3 linked regions of the Neurospora crassa OR74A genome follow. The protein of the gene in region 3 interacts with the protein of the main gene of each other region in a biochemical or structural test. Links are inferred from orthologs where the notes say so. Each region holds a gene or a part of one and is shown on either strand. Other genes may lie near its edges. The genes, in order: NCU08297, NCU06593 and vel.

Region 1 (5,996 bases), on a different chromosome or scaffold from region 3:
AAGACACATGCCGGGTGCAATTCAGCTTCCATCTCAATGACTGACGCTATTCGTTTACCTTCCAGACTTCGCGCCTTCCTTACGATCCCGAATTTTTTTACCTTTTTCATCAACCGTTCACTTCTCGACTCGACCGAAACATCACCATCACGGTACCTTCTGCTATAATGGGTAAGCGCTTGCTTTCTGTCCTCTACTTAACCTGCCCATTCGACCAAGCCGCAGGAAGCATCGCCGGATCACCGACCTCCTCGTACCTTACTCTACGGTCCAAGGGCTCAACAAAACCCGACTCAACGCCGCCCTTCGCCGACTTTTCATCTCCCTTCCCCCCACCAACATCACAGCTCGTTCTTCTGATACGATCATCACATTCGTTGTCCGCTTGCCATCTACCGTTTCTTGGGAACCGTCTTTTTTTTGGAAGAGAACCATCTTACCACCCAAATACTTTGTTCAAACGACTCCGCTGCAATGCATTTCGCTACCATGATGCACAATGCCACCCGGGGCCGCGCCAAAAGTGTTCAGTTTGAGAAGAGCTTCGCCAGTCTCGCTGAAACCATCGATGGAAGCGCCTCGCGGGATGGTCCCGTGTCCCCCGTTTCCGTCTCCGGAACACGGACCAGCAGTTTGCCCCTTGGGGAGAACAACGAGATGATCAAGAAGGCTCTACGCCGATACAAGAGCTTGCTGGAAATCGAGGACCCGGCCCCGACGTTGCCAATGACCCAACAATTCTCATACGACGAGCTATATCCCAAGGCTACGGATCCGACTGTGTCCCAGGAGCCATTACCGAAGCGGCCTTTATCCTCTAGTAGTTGAGAGCTCCGCGCACTTGACTGGACATACATTACATACTTTTGGGCACAAGATGATGGATATCATGCTAACGTTGGCTCTATGACAGCTTCGAACGGTATTCCCACCTCTCCTCCTGTTAGGGCGGCTCCCGTACCTCAGTCATCGACTTCCCAGCCATTGCCATCTCAGACGAAACAACATCAAGATGCTTCTGGTTCTGACACCGTGGCCGCAGCTCTCCCTTCTACCTTGAGCGACAACCGAAACATTGTCCGAAGGAAGCTGACGGGATACGTTGGTTTCGCCAACCTTCCCAACCAATGGCACCGCAAGAGCGTCCGCAAGGGCTTCAACTTCAATGTCATGGTTGTTGGTATGTGACGCTTTCTGTGTCCATTGAAGGAGATTTACTAATTCTAGACATGCAGGTGAATCGGGACTCGGAAAGTCGACCCTCGTTAACACTCTCTTTAACACTTCGCTTTACCCTCCCAAGGAGCGCAAGGGACCTAGCCTCGACATTGTTCCCAAGACTGTCACCATTCAGTCTATCAGCGCCGATATTGAAGAGGCTGGTGTTCGCCTCCGTTTGACCGTCGTTGACACTCCTGGCTTCGGCGACTTTGTCAACAACGACGAGTCTTGGCGTCCTATTGTGGACAACATCGAACAGCGCTTCGATGCTTACTTGGATGCCGAAAACAAGGTGAACCGCATGAACATTGTGGACAACAGGATCCATGCCTGTGTGTTCTTCATCCAGCCCACCGGTCACTCGCTCAAGCCTCTTGATATCGAGGTCATGAAGCGTCTCCACACCAAGGTCAACTTGATTCCCGTCATCGCCAAGTCGGATACTCTCACCGATGACGAGATTGCTGCTTTCAAGGCTAGAGTATGTCTTCGGGCCCTACTGGTTCTGCGATCAATACTAACAGTTTATCATAGATTCTTGCGGATATCAAGTACCACAAGGTGCAAATCTTTGAGGGCCCTCGCTACGAACTCGACGATGAGGAGACCATCGCGGAGAACAACGAGATCATGTCCAAGGTCCCCTTCGCTGTTGTCGGTGCGACCAACGAGATCACAAACGCCGATGGCCGTAAGGTTCGCGGTCGCCGTTACCCTTGGGGTGTGATCGAGGTGGACAATGAGGAGCATTGCGACTTTGTGAAGCTCCGCCAGATGCTCATCCGTACTCACATGGAGGAGCTCAAGGAGCACACCAACAACGTCCTTTACGAGAACTACCGCACGGACAAGTTGATCGCTATGGGCGTCTCTCAAGATCCAAGCGTCTTCAAGGAGGTGAACCCAGCCGTCAAGCAGGAGGAAGAGCGCGCCCTCCACGAACAGAAGCTTGCGAAGATGGAAGCCGAAATGAAGATGGTCTTCCAGCAAAAGGTTGCTGAAAAGGAATCCAAGCTGAAGCAGAGCGAAGAGGAGCTGTATGCTCGTCATAGGGAGATGAAGGAGCAGCTGGAGCGCCAACGACTGGAGCTCGAGGAGAAGAAGTCCCGAATCGAAAGTGGGCGGCCAATTGAGAAGGAGCCGACAAAGAGGAAGGGATTTTCTCTCCGATAATTTTGCGGCAACAACTTCACCCGCCTCTCACGACTGTTGTACTGTCATGTTATCCCGCATACACCTCGGCCTGCCGCTTCATTCCTTCATTCTCTGTTTTCCATTTGTTCATCTTCTAATCATAACCTCCTAATCCTGCGGGAGGATCCCCTCGCAAGCCAACAGTCTCTTTGCAGATCCCTTCATAACCGGATGGGTTTCTGTTAGAAATTTGTTGGCTGCCGTAAACGGTCAAATTTCCAAAAGCCGGTGTGTTCCGTCGTTGGGACGGGGTGCGGTCCGGTCGACTTTGTTCTTGAAAAGCTAATGCAGATGTAATTGGGCCGGAGGAGCTTTTTCGAGAATCTCTTACTTCACAATGGCAGCATGGTTCCAACAGATATATCCTCTTATCTGCTTTAGGGAGTTGAGTTCCGAAAATATGAGGGAGAAGAAAGAGAGATAATTCGTTGGCTGTTCCCCATCAGATGTTTGCGGCGCAGCAGCAATCAGGCCCTCAACTCCCTTTCGCGGCTCTGCTTGCCCTTGTCTTCTTGACCGACTGTCGGCAACATCATGTTTCCGGCTGCCACCATGACTGACAAGTCGGTTAGGATGCTGTGGCTGGCGGGAGCGAGGAGCAATTCACAACCGAGAAGCTCATAGAGGGATCAGAAGGAGTCGGGTTTGAATTGTGCTCGCGACGTTGCACCATATGCAAGTTGCAAAGGGGGCGTAAGGGAACAGGCGGGAAATCTCACTTGGACGAAAAGCAACGAACGACCAGATATCCCAACAACACATGTATTTTATTAACTGCTTTCATCGGCGATCAGATGTTTTTATTTCACGGGGAATTCTTGTAGGAGGTTTTTCTTTTCACGGTTTACGGTCGGTCATACCCAACCCAACATTTCCGGCCGATTCTCTCAACTGGTGCTTCGCTCTCCAGCCACGGAGGGTTCTTGCTTACCACATAAAACATACACACACTCAACGTACACTTAGCCTCTCCTAGATAGTTATTTCTTAGCCTTTTTCTCTCTCGCGCTCTCAAGGCGAATTTTGCCGTCTTCCTCAGTGATAAGTGTTTACCTTTGCACTGCTCCTCTCGATCGACAATGCTATGATTGGCAATTTTACTATATAAGCACTGAGCTTTCAGAGAGGAGACCGTAGGTGTCTCGGTGGTTCTCATCTGTCTCATGACTTTCTTACGCAAAGAAGAAGGAAATTTGTCTATGCCCCTCTTTATATCCATTTAGTTAATAGTGGTAATGATACATGTAGCGTACATCGATGCCGAAGGGGGCGAACTGAATGAGTCTGCAACAGATTGTTCGGGTATTGAGGAACGAACAAACTGTTACGCGCAATGTGCCCAAAATACGTATGAAGTCAACTCATCTCATGCATGATCCATCCCCGTCTCCTTTTTCTCCGGGAATCGCGAGATTTGCCGCCCACTTCGCAGCTTTCTCATCGAGACCGAACCCGATTTCCAACGCATGGTCCAACTGAAGCCGCAGCAGGTGCAGAGTATCACATCATCCGAGGTTGCCTTGAAGATGCAACAAGCACAATAGAGCGTACCCGCGACATGCAAAAAACTGGGTGCGCGCGACTCTAATCGTCCATTGGCGAATTCTACCGCTCTGAGACGGCAGAGAGTGACTGCCGTTCCTCCCTCCATCTCCCCTTTTCATTCCCTCGCTCCTAACTAGACCTCCTTTAACCTCTCCGTAAGTACCAGTTGAACGCGAGTTGGTTGATAGTGGGGGAGAAAGGCGACGGTACTTCGGACTCGCCCGGGCGCGCCACGGGGTGGCGGAGGTAGACGGCCGCGCAGATGTTCTGGTTGACCTCAAGGTAGCGGGGGATGAACGCGAAAGCGGACATGTAGTTGCGCGGCCTCCAGGGGGTCATGTACGGCTTGCTCGGGTCGATCTCGTTGTCCTCGTGCTCGTCGTTGTACTCGATCACCTTCTTGAGCACCTGGCGCGACTGCTTGTCAAGCTTCTTGCTCAGCTCCTTGGCCGCCTCCTCCTGCTGAATGGCCTTGGAAGGGGAGACCGCAAGGCGCTCGAGAAGCATCGTCAGGTCGTCCACCACGTTACCGGTTGGCGAAACGGACCCGTCGCGCCGCTGCGCTTGCTTGATGGCGGCCTTGATGTCGCGCTTCAAAGCGCGCAATGCTTGCTTGCGCGTCGCGGAGAGCTGGTGAGACGGCGAGTCGGCGATGTGCTTGGCGTACTGCAGCAGACGTTGGAGCTGCAGGAGTTCGTACTTGCGGTTCCAGGCCTCGTCGAACTTGGAGGTGTCGACTTGCTTCTCCTTCTTGCCGGACTTGGAGGCTGCTTCTTGTGCCTCTCCTTCCTCGGCCTCCTCGGCCTCCGCATCCTTCTCTTCGGCGGCTTCCTGTGCTTCCTCCGCAAGCTCCTTCTTGGCGGCCTTCATAGCCGCGGCGAGGAGCTTCTTGTCCTTGGGCGCACCGGTCGCATAGAGGACGCGCTCGACGTCGACTTGGAAGAGATCGCCAGGGTTCAGGAGGTAACCGGGGTGTTTCATCTGCAAAAGGATCGGGTAATGTTAGCGCCGAAACAAGCAGCTTTGGCATGGGTGCACTGTATTGTGGGATTCGGTATTGGAACGTTGTGATGGTGTACATGCCTTCTTGCCGTTGACGGTGACGGCACCGTGCACAACCATCTGGCGGGCCTGTCTCGCACTGCTGGCAAAGAGGGCTCTGAATATGGCGATATCGAGGCGTCTCTCGAGAGGCGCAAAGGTCATTTGCTCGTACGGCGTGGGAACCTTCCTGCCCGGGTTGGCGATGACTTGCTTGGCAGGTTTCTCGTCGGCGGTCTTCTCGTAGGCTGGGGGCTCTGAGAGGCCGGAACCGCGGCCGGCGGCTTGTTCGCTGCCGTTATATTTGGCCATGTATGCCGGGTCCATGTTGACGACGGCCGGTAGGCGACGGCTAAACATGCGCGCCCATTTGCGTTCCTTGATGTGCTCGCCGTGGTATGCTCGTGTCAAGGACTTGGCGAGCCATTTCTGCTGGAAGAATGTCTTGCCGCTGATTCTGGGTTCTCTCCCGGCCGTAGCCAGGTTGTACAGGTTATATTTGTTCCATGTCGGCCTGATGGGCTATTCGGAAGAAGAAGAAGCGCACACAAAATACGTCAGCATGATCGCGTGTGGTGGGTGTTGAGTGTCGTGGCAATGGGACTGGCAGGTAGTAGGTAATGGGGCGAATGGGGTGATGATGCGGCGGCGGCGACGATGACCAACGGCAAACCCGGCGACGGCGGCATAAAACACCGAATAGCACATACCTTTTTCTTCAAACTGTGGTACTTGAACAACCTCCGGATCTTCATGTTGGGTGTGGTGTGTTTGGAGGAGCTTCGGGGGATCGGATCGGACTGTAGGCCCCGTGCTTTTGGCGAAGTGGACGGACCGGTTCGGCGCAGGTTGTTTGGAGATTGTCGAGTCCGGAGCGGTCCGGGGCACCTAGCAGCACTGCCAACGAGGGGAGCTTCCCGGGGCCCTTCCACCTCTTATCGGGCGCCGTCCTCCGAAAATTATTTCAGACCCGAATTGGAGCACGCGCTCGCCCA
Region 2 (7,777 bases), on a different chromosome or scaffold from region 3:
AGAGCTGTTCGAGGGTCCGAGGAAGGCAGCATTTTCCAGGGTTGACATTAAAGGTCAAATCTAACAGCACTGAGTCCTTATTTCCTATCGTCGCCGCACCCGCCCACATCGTTCCCAACTCTTTCAAGACATGAGCACCGGCTGTCGACCTCACGTTTCTACTTCATCTCCGCCTTCGTAGTTTCTCACCTCGGTCACCGGGATCTGCACCCTTGCGTCGTCATGCAGTAGTTTGATATTATTGATAGCACGCCCTTCGTCGACCTATGTCGCTGTCCTACCCCACGACATTTGCGACCTGGGCTTCTATCGCCAACACCTCATGGGGGATTTCGGCGATAGAGAATACCGACGGGTTTTCTATCTCCGTTTCTTCGTTGTCAATTCCGATGTTACTCCCTGAATAGTAACGTGGAATGCGTTAGAGGAAGCCCACGTCATGCCTTGTGGAGCTCTTACACTGACGAAAACCACTTCTTCCCCCGAGTCGTCTCACGACCTCACGATCCGCCAGGTTGCCACTTGCAACGCAGTCCGACTTACCTTTTCAGCTAGTTCCTTCAGGACAGGCGCAGATCCTGTTCTTCAATGTCATTTGCCAGCATCAGGTCAACCTAATTGACCTCAAACGTGGTTGAGGCGTGCAGTATTCGAATCTGCCTACTCTACTCAAAAATGGAGACGTAATATCCACCGTTTTCGGAACCCATTCTCGGTGGACAGGATGATAGATGGCGTCTTCGCACATCGACCCCCTTCTTTCCCGATCAATGTGTCTTGCCGGAGGATCTCGACGTGTCGGCTCACGGGGTCTCTTGTTTTAGCAAGCATTAGGGTCATGCGGAGGTGACCTTTGGCGACGTGGAAGCAGCAGCATTAGTTGCTATGGTGCTGTAGTGGCACCCTGCTCTCCTTCTATGCGTCCTTACAGGCACCGCTCTCTTATTCAACAATTTTTCAGTATCCCTTGCGTTCCGGTGTCGGCATCTTTGGGTGGTGGTTTGGGTCAGCGAGCATAGGGTTTTGGCGTCTCGGGGTGTCAAAACTGCTTGCATTTGTCCCTTGTCTTTTTTTCTTTGTTCCTTCTTCATGCTAGTACAGGTAACTCAGGTGTTTGGCGTTAAGGGAACAATGCTAAGAGCAGGGAGGTTGAGTGGGCATGTCTTACAGTTAGCAAAATAAGAACGTACTTAGTGAGCTCCAGCACACAACACAGTCATATTGTGCGCCGTCGATATCGATGCCATCCTTGTTGTCTTTTGAGTCAGAGTACGGGGAGCCGGAGGCCAACACAATCGGCCGCGCATCATAATCAATGGTGGAAAAGGGTCGGGTCCTTCGACTTCTGCCCGCATTGCAAGCAGATGTGACGAACCTCCATGCTACGCGTTTGCTTCTTGATGCAGTTGCTAACTTAACCTTGGGTCGAATTGAAGCGGTGGCTGGTGAGGCGAAAGATAGACACCATACCATGTGGAAAAAGGAAAAATACCACGCTGCCTCATTGCTTACAGGTGCGCCAGCGGGCATCCCGGCCCGTCGTGTGCTCCTCGCGTCACATCCCGATTGGTCAAACCTCGTGCATGTACGTAGAAGTCGTGCATCGATAAATGGAAAGAGGGTTGAAACCATTGCCATGGAAAACATGGCAATTGGCGGCTTTTCTTGGGCGTTGTTCATGTCCAATAGAGAGGGTGAAGATGTTGAGTATTCGAAGGACGTCCGTCCACTTGCACTATTCTCGTGTTTATGATTCCCTCTAGGAGCTCGCATATTATTGTTGTGGCCAGAATGAGATGAACATGATACAAAGGCCGAACAGAAACCCCGAAATGACAAAAAGTGAGATTTGTTAAGCAAAAGAATAAGAAAAGAAAGAAAAAACTGGATCGGTTAATGCCCAGATTCCAAAATCGGGAGCTTTGCGGCAGAGCCCTACCAGGCCGTTACAGTGCTGTCTCTATCGAGTCTAGACGCCAATGCTCCTTGTTCGCTGTTGGGTTGGGTTGTTCTGATTAGTCAGGCACAGGCCGCGGAGCTTCATCCGAAATACCCCGAGACCGAGAACCGATATCTACCTAAAATTTGATCGCGATGCTTTTTGCTGCACCAATGAAGGAGATTCGGACTGTGTAGAATGAATCTGCCAAACATAGGTAGATCTGAAAATCCCGAGCTAAGTCGCCATCAGAAGGACATATGTCAGCGTCAATCCAGTGATGCTAGTACTAGGCTTTTTCCTACTAGGGGTTGCTTGTGAACCGTCTTGGAGGCCTTGCATTCTATCGAGTCCCCTTCGGCTTTCAAGTCCACCGACGTTATGATGGAGCCCGATGTCAATGCATTGACAAGGTGTGGGCTTTGAACATCTCATGACGCATCGTATGAGTTGATGCACTAACAGCAGGCATATTCCTGCCTCACAGCATCGACTTGTTGTCGACGACGACGCCTTTCAAGTCACTTGGATGGGTAGTGACGGAACAGACTCGAGAATGAAGCAATCAATCCTTCAGTTGAGGTTGGAGAAGTGAGAAAAAATCCTCAGGTACCGTGTCCATAACACCCTGGTTGTCGACTCGACTCAGCAAACCAACCACAGTTTCCGCTATGACAAGCGCGATCACGATGCATATGCAGTGGCTTCAAAGATATGTACAATATCATGCACACTAGCACGCACACATATCTTAGGCCAGGCAATGACAGCGACAAAGATACCAACGGAGAATACCTGAGGGAGCAGCAATCTTAGCTTTTCAATGGCCTCATTGCGCGCGGCTCATCTTTGATCAGATCGTGTAAGACTAGCAAGCTGGTTGGTTTCAGTTGAGATTTGACGTTGGCCGACTTCTTTCATTCGTTTGTCGCAAAGTTCCTGGTCGTATCGCGGTGGGCACGTCCGGAATCCCAAAGATCGAGAGCGGCCAAGAAACAGTGGAGGTACCTAAGAACGAAAGCCAATTCGAATCCACCACAGCCAGGTCCAGGGAGGGTGGGTCCCTCTGGACGTGAGAACCCTGGCGGCGCTCTCCAATTGCACCAACATGCAGGGCAGCAACTGCGCCAATCAACCAGGCCGGGGTGCCTTCAGGTACCTGCCCGCGCGGCCTCTGCGCTGCTGCAACGCTACAATTCCCCTCTTAAGTCGAGGTCCTTGGCCGTCCATTGTCATGCCGATTGTCATGCGGATGCTAACGGCTAGATAGAGGCAGCCACCCTTTCACGGTCAGGACACGGACATAAACTAGCAGACACTAACAGACACTAGGCGAATAAGCAAGCCTGAGTGGCTGTTTTTCCAACATGTTCCATGCCGTCCGTCTCGGCTAGGCTGGTGACTTGCTTGTGACCTTCATCACACCTACCCGCCCGTCTTCGAGCCATCTCCGGCCACCACCTCCACACCCTGTCGGCTTCCACTCTGCGAGAACACACCTGGACCCGACCCTTGGTGATCACCCTTGCTGCTTCCGTTGCAAGCTTGGCTTTGGGCTGTTGCTATCTCCCTTTTTATTATTTTTTTAATGCTATTGCTGCCCGTCCCGAGGACTAGCACGCAAGGCACGCAGGCCATATATCCCACCTGATCCTGATCCTTCCCCGCCACCGTGCAGTTTCCAGTTTCCATTCCCACCTGCCCGTTCGCTCGCTTCGTTCACTCATCACCAGTTCCAACTCTCGACAACCAACCTTCCTACTGCGACAGTCAAGTCCATCATCGCCGACAACACTCGTCGCAACACCCAACGCAACTCCCGGCGGATTGTCCACCACTACTTAGACATTCTAGAAGCGCTCGCCGGACTGGGACTTGCGCATTGAGCATTGGGTCTAGGCAGTCGGCATTGCGGCTGAACAAAGGAACAAGAGAATTGCATCAACACCACACGCCCACACGCCAGGCGGCCCTGATCAGGCTCAGACAAAGACGGAAAGCCAAGATTGAGGCAAACTCGGCCAGACAGCGAACTTGGGGTCAGCTATCCACTTGGGGAACAGAAGTATTGGGGCGCGACCATTTTACACGAAACGGTCGCCGAAATTAGCTGGACAACCGCTGCTTTCCAAATTACGTCTCCCTTACGTTCGCACGGTCGCAAACACTAGTGCAGCAGATAACGACCCCGTCCGCGATATCCACTCCCGTCATCGCCGCGCTGCTTTCCCGGCTCCCATCCGACCGATACATACGGCACATTTGGATCGTTACACAGATTCCACCTAGCAACACCCTCCACGACACACACACACACACACCACACACACGAGCAGAACCGCCCAGGACCAACCCCAGAGGGATCCTAGGCAAGCCCTCTCGCCGTCCGTCATTTGAGTCGGCGTAACCCCAACCACGATTGCCCGCGCACGCCGACACCAGGACGCCCGCTCCAAAAGTTGTTTGCTGACGCCTCTCACCCCGTCAGCCGTTCCTGTTTCTCTCTGTGTATAGCACAATAGTTCCGGTTTTGGTTTGTGTACACATAGCTTACAAGTCGTCTGAGTATCGCTGTCGGACAAGATGAAGGTACGTCATTCCCCGCTGTTCTGTGCTCTGCCATCCCCTCTCTCTTCCCTTCCCCGTCCCTCCTCCTCTTCAGTCCGATCGTTTTTGCTCGTTCCCCAGGAAACAGCCCTCGTGATTGTATAGCAGAGGCTTCACTGCTATTGGGGACATGAGAGATAGGATCGGGCTACGGCTCAGGTATTCATACACCATCACATAGGCGTTCTTGCCTTGGCCAATTCGTCACGATGCAATACAGCTTGCGTGAACCGGAAGAATCCTTTTTCTTAGTGTCTGCTCCATCTACACCCACAGCACCTCTCGAATTTTCTTGGCCTCGTCGGACTACTCATTTCAATACTGCGGTTTCGTCGTTCTGGCAACTAACAATGTCACGCGGTTTTAAGGCTCTACGAAGGTCCATCAAGGGTGGAGAGAAGGACTCCAAACCTCATATTACTATTCAACCGAAATCTGCCGTCGCCATCGTCCCTCCAAAGAAGGTATGTCTCGTAACAAGGTGTCAGCCACAAGGCGCTTAGGCTAAACTTGTTATCACAGGTTATAAAAGCTCTCTACGATTACGAAGCACAAAATGCACAGGAGCTTAGCTTTTCACGCGGCGATTTCTTCCATGTCATCGGTCGTGAAAATGACCCAGAGTGGTATGAGGCGTGCAACCCTGCGCTACCAGACGCTCGTGGTCTCGTGCCCGTCGCTTATTTCCAGGCCCTTGGACGTACGGAACGCGATAGCGGCCAGTCTCAAACCGGTTCACTGGGTTTGAAGACCGTAGATAGTGATTCTGGATACGGCGAAGGCTCGGCGGCCTCGCCTCCTGGAGCAAACGCCGCGAATCGGATGTCGAAAACGCCTGGCAAGAATGGAGCCATGGTTTATGGTGTCGTTTTGTACGATTTCCAAGCCGAACGGGCAGACGAATTGGAAGCCAAGCAGGGCGAGGCCATCATTGTCATTGCCCAGTCGAACCCCGAATGGTTCGTGGCTAAGCCCATCGGAAGACTTGGCGGCCCGGGTCTGATTCCCGTATCCTTTGTTGAGATCCGGGACATGGCGAGTAACACCCCTGTCCCGAACCCCCATGATGCCATACGAAAAGCTGGGATTCCAAAGGTCGAGGAGTGGAAGAAGATGGCTGCGGAATATAAGAACTCGAGCATAACGCTCGGCAAGTTCGATGTTGGTGGTGGCGGTGGTGGCCAACCACCACTTGACCAGGCCATGAACCGCTTAACTTTGCAAGGAAGCGCCCGGTTGAGCCAGCAGACTACTCATACCCAGGTACGTGTATTCTGTCCACTTACTTTGCGTGCGTGTTTGTACTAACAGGTCTTTGCAGCAACAGATACAGGCTCAAGGACAATCCTATTCGAGGCCAACCTCGACACTATACGCACCCATCGCAGCCAGGGTTCCGAGGTACTGCTTTGCCGAGGACAAGTACTGGTTTGTTATTGAAGCCGAACTGGAGGATGGTCGATGCTTCGAACTTTCGCGATACTACGAGGATTTCTACGACTTCCAAATCGCGCTCCTAACCGAGTTCCCTCTTGAAGCTGGAACTACAGGCGGCAAGCAGCGGACGCTACCCTACATGCCCGGTCCTGTTAATTACGTGACTGATGCGATTACGGAAGGCCGCCGCCACAACCTTGACTCTTACGTTAAAAGTCTACTGGAACAACCGCCACACATCTCCCGCTGTAACCTGGTCAAGCAGTTCTTTTCTCCTAGAGAGGGTGATTACGAAATCGACCCTAGCGTTGCTCGCGAGGAATACCGATTCTCTGGAGGCTCTGGTCCGTCCTCTGACTCACCAGCCGACGGCCTCTCACTACAGAGCACAGCCGGCAACAGATATTCTGCCGGTCTCGGTGTTCCTCAGAGGCAGCTGAGCATTGGCAACGGCCAACAGATTCCGGGACCTGGGCAGGCTTCACAGACCTCATTGTCACCTGCTATTATGCAGGGTGGTTCACAGATGAAAGTGAAACTGCACTTCAACGGCGACATCATCGCCATCCGCGTACCCACTGATATTCCATTCCAAGCTCTCCATGACAAGATTCTGGATCGTCTCAAGATTCCTCAGGGCGAGGACGTTCAGCTAAGTTACAAGGACGACGCGAGTGGCGAGAAGCCTCCTCTGATGAACGACGAAGATCTGGATATTGCACTGCAACGGAACGAAAAGCTGCTCGTTTACGTGGAATAATGGACTGACGGACTTTGAAACCCCAACCCATACACGTTTGTTGGCCATATTCCGATACACAGCGCATTCGGATACCATGGTCACATGCGCCATGTTTCACGAACATTTGATTCGAAGGCAGCAACTGGGTAAACTAAGCGCTCGGCCTTCAAAAGTCACGCCAGATGGCTACATACACAAGCAAGGCGAACAACGTGGAGGGAATTGCTCATTTGCGCACTCAGTTACATACCATCTTTTCTCGTTGACGGCTGCCAACAAACTGCTCTTTATCCAACACACAATGCGATATCTATACCCCACGCTATATACCCAAACGCATACGTAAATCATATAGGACTTCGCGGTTCAGTCGTTGTAATACATTTCGAATTGATCGGCTCGTCTCTCTCCACTCACTAAAATTTCTGGGACGCAGATGGTCATGGGGCATTTTGGATGCGGCAGGGACTTTGGGATACGGTGATATTTTTTTGGAACAGCTCAGGAGTCAGGCCAAAGGAGTCTGTGACCATGGTGAAAAAAAGGAAGGAAGTAGAGTCAGGGGAGGATCTGCGCGCTTGCTGGAAGGCTGCGGTGGGGCCAAGTTGGGAGATGGATTCTTGGTTAGGCGTGGGGGAGGGTGGAAGGATTAAATTTGATACCAAACTACGTTGCTACTCGAGGTCGAAGATGGGTGGTGGATTACCATAAGAAGAGGTGGTGGAGGTGGTAATGGTGGTGCTGAGGGTGATGACAAGGGACAAGAAGAAGAAGAAGGGGCCCTTGTGAATGGATGATGAATGAAATGAATTTACACCCACAGGCTTTTTGTGTTTCAGGATGTTGACCGAGATGGCGGGGGACACGGGGTATCGTTTCTGCAGTGTAGGTGAGATTTGAAGATATCCATGTGCAGTCAAGGTGTTTTTGGTAATAAAAAAATTGGGAGCGAAAGATGACCGGAGAAAAGAGAGTAGTGGTGGTCTACTCGCAGCCAGTAAGTAGCATAAATCTACATTTGAAGATATCGCGACTTCCGATAATTGCATGTG
Region 3 (4,174 bases):
CGGAACACTAGGTCCCTCAAGAATGCCCGTATCCGCATTCCGCAGCGGGAAAACAAGACCAGAAACCCTTGAATTCTTCAAAGTTGTCTTGGTCGAACCGTTCGTATCATCTCCGTTGCTTTTGCTGCTGAACGTGATCCATGTGTTAATTGACGACGTACGATGACCCTCGTCTAAAAGCTGAGACTTATCTGTCGGTTGATCGTAGCGGCATAACACGGTCGGACTAGTGGCAGAGATTCTCCAGGGTGTTTAAGATTGGTGTCTTGTACCGTCGAGATCTGTCCACATCGGACCCGAACACCTCAGCGGGACCGGACGAGAGGTTGGTGGTGAATGAAGCGTTTAAAGTAATGACGGCTTTACCTCTCTGACAAAGAAGGTAGCACCCAATATCTTTGAGACCACACAAAGGTCAGGGTGTTCAGAACGAGTTTATGGGTATCTGTACGCCTGTGCTGCGAGAGCCTTACGACGGCGGACAGCATATAGGACCGGGAAGGGAATAACTGCAGAGATATTTGGGATGGACTCCCCAATCGTTATTTACAACTTCATAGGTCCCAGACTGGCGCAGAGCATATCAATTTCCATTGCAATGAACTCCAGGCTTCCCCGGTGGCCGGACGTTTCTTTCTTCTTTTACCATGCCGCTGGTGCGTAAAGTCGATATAAAAAATAAGAAAAAAACGGAAAAGCCAATAAGCCGCGTTAAGACGGTACCTGCGCGCTAGGCACAAAATGTGTTGCATAAGCAAGTATCTCGGCATCCATCCGAGCCAAGGCAGTAAGATGAAGACGTACCCGTTCTCAAGTCTGCAATGGATCTGACTGGTCGCGGCGCTGTCCCCCCCCCCTTTCCCGCCGCAGTCTTGGTTACTCTGCCACTTCCACACGTTGGCGCACTGCATCTGCCCCGTTCCCCACTATTCTCACGCTAACCGTCCAAGGCTTCAACGTTCAATGGTCGCTCGAACGGGTGCCGCAGCTGTAACTGACGGTTTGATGGACCCTTACAATGCCCCTGCTCCCACTCTTGGATCCGACCGGGCATTCAACTTGCTGTGGTGAGAGATGTTCAGCGCAAAGAGGAGACAGTAGGGCATCTGGACGGCATCTCACCCGTATCGCTAACTGTTGTTGTTCCTGGGTTGAGCGTCTGGACCATAGGTCGTAGGTAGGTAAGGTAGTTAGGTATGGATGGTATATGTGAGGTGGGTAGGTACCTACTGCGTAGAGGTAGTGTACTGTCCCCTCGTTGGTTGTTGTAGAAGATGGGATCACCCAAGTACCAGAAGAAAGACACCACAACCTGGATGCACCAAAACCTCGACCGGGATCCCAGGACCCTTACACGTTTTTGCCCCATACAGGCAATAATACCAGTAGTGTACCCCTTACTACTGCAACCTCACACAGCGCCGGCCTGGAGTCCTTGCCAACCCCTTTCGACTCTGCTCATCTTTCTTTCAACTCCGAGCGTGGTCTCTCATCTTGCCCTTTGACACCCGCCAGCCTGTCTCCGTTGATCACCGGCGTCAAGGATAACGCAGATTCGCGAACCAGACAGGCAATCGTCTGGCCTGACCGCCATCGCATCGTTCGGCTTTCTGTCTTCCATTCACTACAGCAGCCAGCACCAGCACCAGCAATACACAGCATTGCGACGAGGCGTGCTTTGAACCTTCCGTGGCATCCAACTAAAGAAACAAAAAGTAATCGAGCCAGGACCGCAAATACATGTCGCCCTGGTCGCCTGTTGGTCTTGCTCGAACGCGCCTGAACCGACCCTCTCCTTGGTCGCTGCTTCTCCCCTGTCGCAATCGACTCGCTTAGTCCTTTTCTAACTCAAACCCACCTGTGCCAACTGACCACCTATACCATCACCGTTTGATACTGGTCCATTCTTTTAGTACACATTGCGCCTTGTCTTTCGGACGGAGCCGGCTTCATCTTTGGGCCTCCTGGTGCGTTGGCGACCCTGCCACCATATGCGCAACCCCGCCTTTCGAACCGTCTATTGACCCGGCGACAATAGGAAGCACACCCGTCACACTCCAGGTCCCGCAACTCAGGGGATCGTCGCGACTACGCGCAGTCTATTTCTGGCTCCAGAACAACCAGACCTATCTCTAGTCAAGGAGTAACTGGAATCCGGCACAATGGCGCAAAATGGGTATGCCCGCCCTCTGCTATGCTTCTCCCACTTCGCCCCAACCACGCAAATCTCTCCTCTCCCACATGACATCTCGCTCCCGCTACTTGGTCAATTTCCCTAGTGGAGCTTCGCTTCATTACCTTGGCCCATCTTCATTCCTTCCCCTGTTGGAAATCTAGCAGGGTCCGTGGACATTATGCTAACCTCGACCTGAACCACAGCAACATATACTCGAGGGAGCCGTTCATGAACCCAGGCCCAGCGCCGCGACCTCCCACGGACAAGCCCCGCCTCGGCCTCACCCCCAACACCAATTCACCCGGGAACATCTCCAACCTTCCTGGGAACATGTCCAACCTGAGCCTCCGGTCGCCTGCCCCAGGGGTAACTAGTACATACAGCGGCTCGACCATCGCCCTCCCCATCCAAAGACAAATGTCAAACAACGACGGCACCGGCGGCCTTGCCGTCATCAAGCAAGGTTGGGCCAGTGTCAAGGAGAGCAAGAACTTCATCAACCCTTGGAAGAACAAGTACCTGATCCTACGAAAGGAGTCACTGGATTTCCACAAGGCCGAGAGCAGTAAAGTTGCCTATACCCTCTACCTCAAGGACGTTATCAATGTCGGCCGTGTGGAGGCCGCAGGAACCATTTTCGAGATCAAGAGGCAGTCTAGCGGTGCCTCCACGAGTCCCGGAGAGGAGGAAAATGGCATCAGGACCCTTCAGATCCGCGTGAAGGCCGACGACGACCTTTATGAATGGATTGACTTTATTTACGCGCGTTGCCCAGGCATGGGCGGTGTCAGTAATCCTACCAACTTTTCGCATGCCGTTCACGTCGGATTCGATCCCCAGACCGGCGAGTTCGTCGGCCTGCCTCCTGAGTGGTCGAAGCTGCTCAACTCTTCAGCCATTACCCAAGAAGACTACGAAAGGAACCCTCAAGCCGTCTTTGAAGTCCTCGATTTCTATTCCGATTTCAACAAGAATGGCGGCCAAGCGCCCACACCCAACTTTCCCACTCCCCCATCGAACAGCGCACAGAGCAAGCAGCTCGGATACCCGAGCGGTGGAAACTCCGTCGCGCCGCCGCGCCCTACGCAGCCGTTGCAACAACGCAACCCAAGCTCCAACTACCCATCCTCGCCGCAGCAGCAAGGTGGCACCAGTTCTCGCTCATCACCCCCCGAGCAGCGCCAGCAGGCGTCGCCGAGCTACAACTCTGAGCGCGCGAGAGAGGAGCAAAGGCGCGAACTGGAGCGCCAGCAGAGAGAGATGGAGGAGCGGGATCGCCGGGATCAGGAAGCTTATAATGCGTCCCTTCCCAAGACGAAGACTCCTATGGCTCAGCAGGAGATTGGAGGTGGTGGTTATGGTGGTGCCGATCGCTTCAACCCAACACGCGCCGCTCCACCAGCACCCAAGGGCTTGCAGCAAGCACCGAGTCTCAAAGCTCAGAGACCTGCGCCTCCCCCACCAAGTTCCAGTTCGAGCCGCCCGCCCGTCGCACAGCAGTCCAGTTCCAGCTCACAGCGTGATCTTGCCCAGGCGCAGGCGCAGAGACGGGCCGAACAGCAGGCTCAGGCGCAACGGAGCCAGAACGGCCAGGCCCCGCCACGACCACCTCACCCATCGGCCAACCAGCCATCCAAGATTCCTACGACCGTGAAGCCGCTTAACGTGGGTCCCAAGCAGCCTCAAGATGGCGTCAAGGCCGCTGAAGCAGCCCTTACGTCCAAGCCCGCTGCTTCTGAGCGTTCCAAGGATGTTCGCATGTCGACCATGTCGGAGAAGGAGGTTATGCAGAAGCTAAGGGAAGTTGTGTCTCACGAAGACCCCGAAGCCAAGTACTCCAAGCAGAAGAAGATCGGACAGGGTGCCTCTGGCTCCGTGTACGTCGCCAAGATCAGGGAGAGACCGGGCCAGGATCCCAACGTTTCCAGAAGACGCGGCCAGGTTGCAATCAAGCAGATGGATCTCGCGCACCAGCCGCGCAAGGAGTTGATCGTGAAC

Evidence for each region.
Region 1: of the proteins of vel (region 3) and NCU08297, one has a biochemical effect on the other in vitro, tested with the Saccharomyces cerevisiae proteins (2 studies listed by BioGRID). The link is inferred for Neurospora crassa OR74A from reciprocal best matches to the Saccharomyces cerevisiae genes CLA4 and CDC3.
Region 2: the proteins of vel (region 3) and NCU06593 interact in a test that uses a peptide from one of them, tested with the Saccharomyces cerevisiae proteins (3 studies listed by BioGRID, with this or other methods). The link is inferred for Neurospora crassa OR74A from reciprocal best matches to the Saccharomyces cerevisiae genes CLA4 and BEM1.

Annotation. Positions count from the first base shown.
Region 1 is NC_026504.1:2,498,717-2,504,712, forward strand, and holds the end of NCU08297 (cell division control protein 3), read left to right. Parts: intron 1-65; 5' UTR 66-167; coding exon 168-171; intron 172-913; coding exon 914-1,180; intron 1,181-1,235; coding exon 1,236-1,702; intron 1,703-1,755; coding exon 1,756-2,394; 3' UTR 2,395-3,586; downstream 3,587-5,996. Other genes in the region: NCU08296 (mito ribosomal protein S4), read right to left, coding at 4,105-4,941, 5,044-5,523, 5,712-5,756. UniProt on the Saccharomyces cerevisiae protein: Septins are GTPases involved in cytokinesis that assemble early in the cell cycle as a patch at the incipient bud site and form a ring approximate 15 minutes before bud emergence, which transforms into an hour-glass shaped collar of cortical filaments that spans both sides of the mother-bud neck.
Region 2 is NC_026504.1:1,740,803-1,748,579, reverse strand, and holds NCU06593 (MAP kinase activator), read left to right. Parts: upstream 1-3,289; 5' UTR 3,290-4,522; coding exon 4,523-4,528; intron 4,529-4,914; coding exon 4,915-5,010; intron 5,011-5,068; coding exon 5,069-5,809; intron 5,810-5,867; coding exon 5,868-6,743; 3' UTR 6,744-7,748; downstream 7,749-7,777. Other genes in the region: NCU06594 (GANP domain-containing protein), read left to right, coding at 1-64.
Region 3 is NC_026503.1:3,746,416-3,750,589, forward strand, and holds the start of vel (protein kinase CHM1), read left to right. Parts: upstream 1-1,374; 5' UTR 1,375-1,967; intron 1,968-2,038; 5' UTR 2,039-2,162; coding exon 2,163-2,176; intron 2,177-2,379; coding exon 2,380-4,174. UniProt on the Saccharomyces cerevisiae protein: Involved in budding and cytokinesis.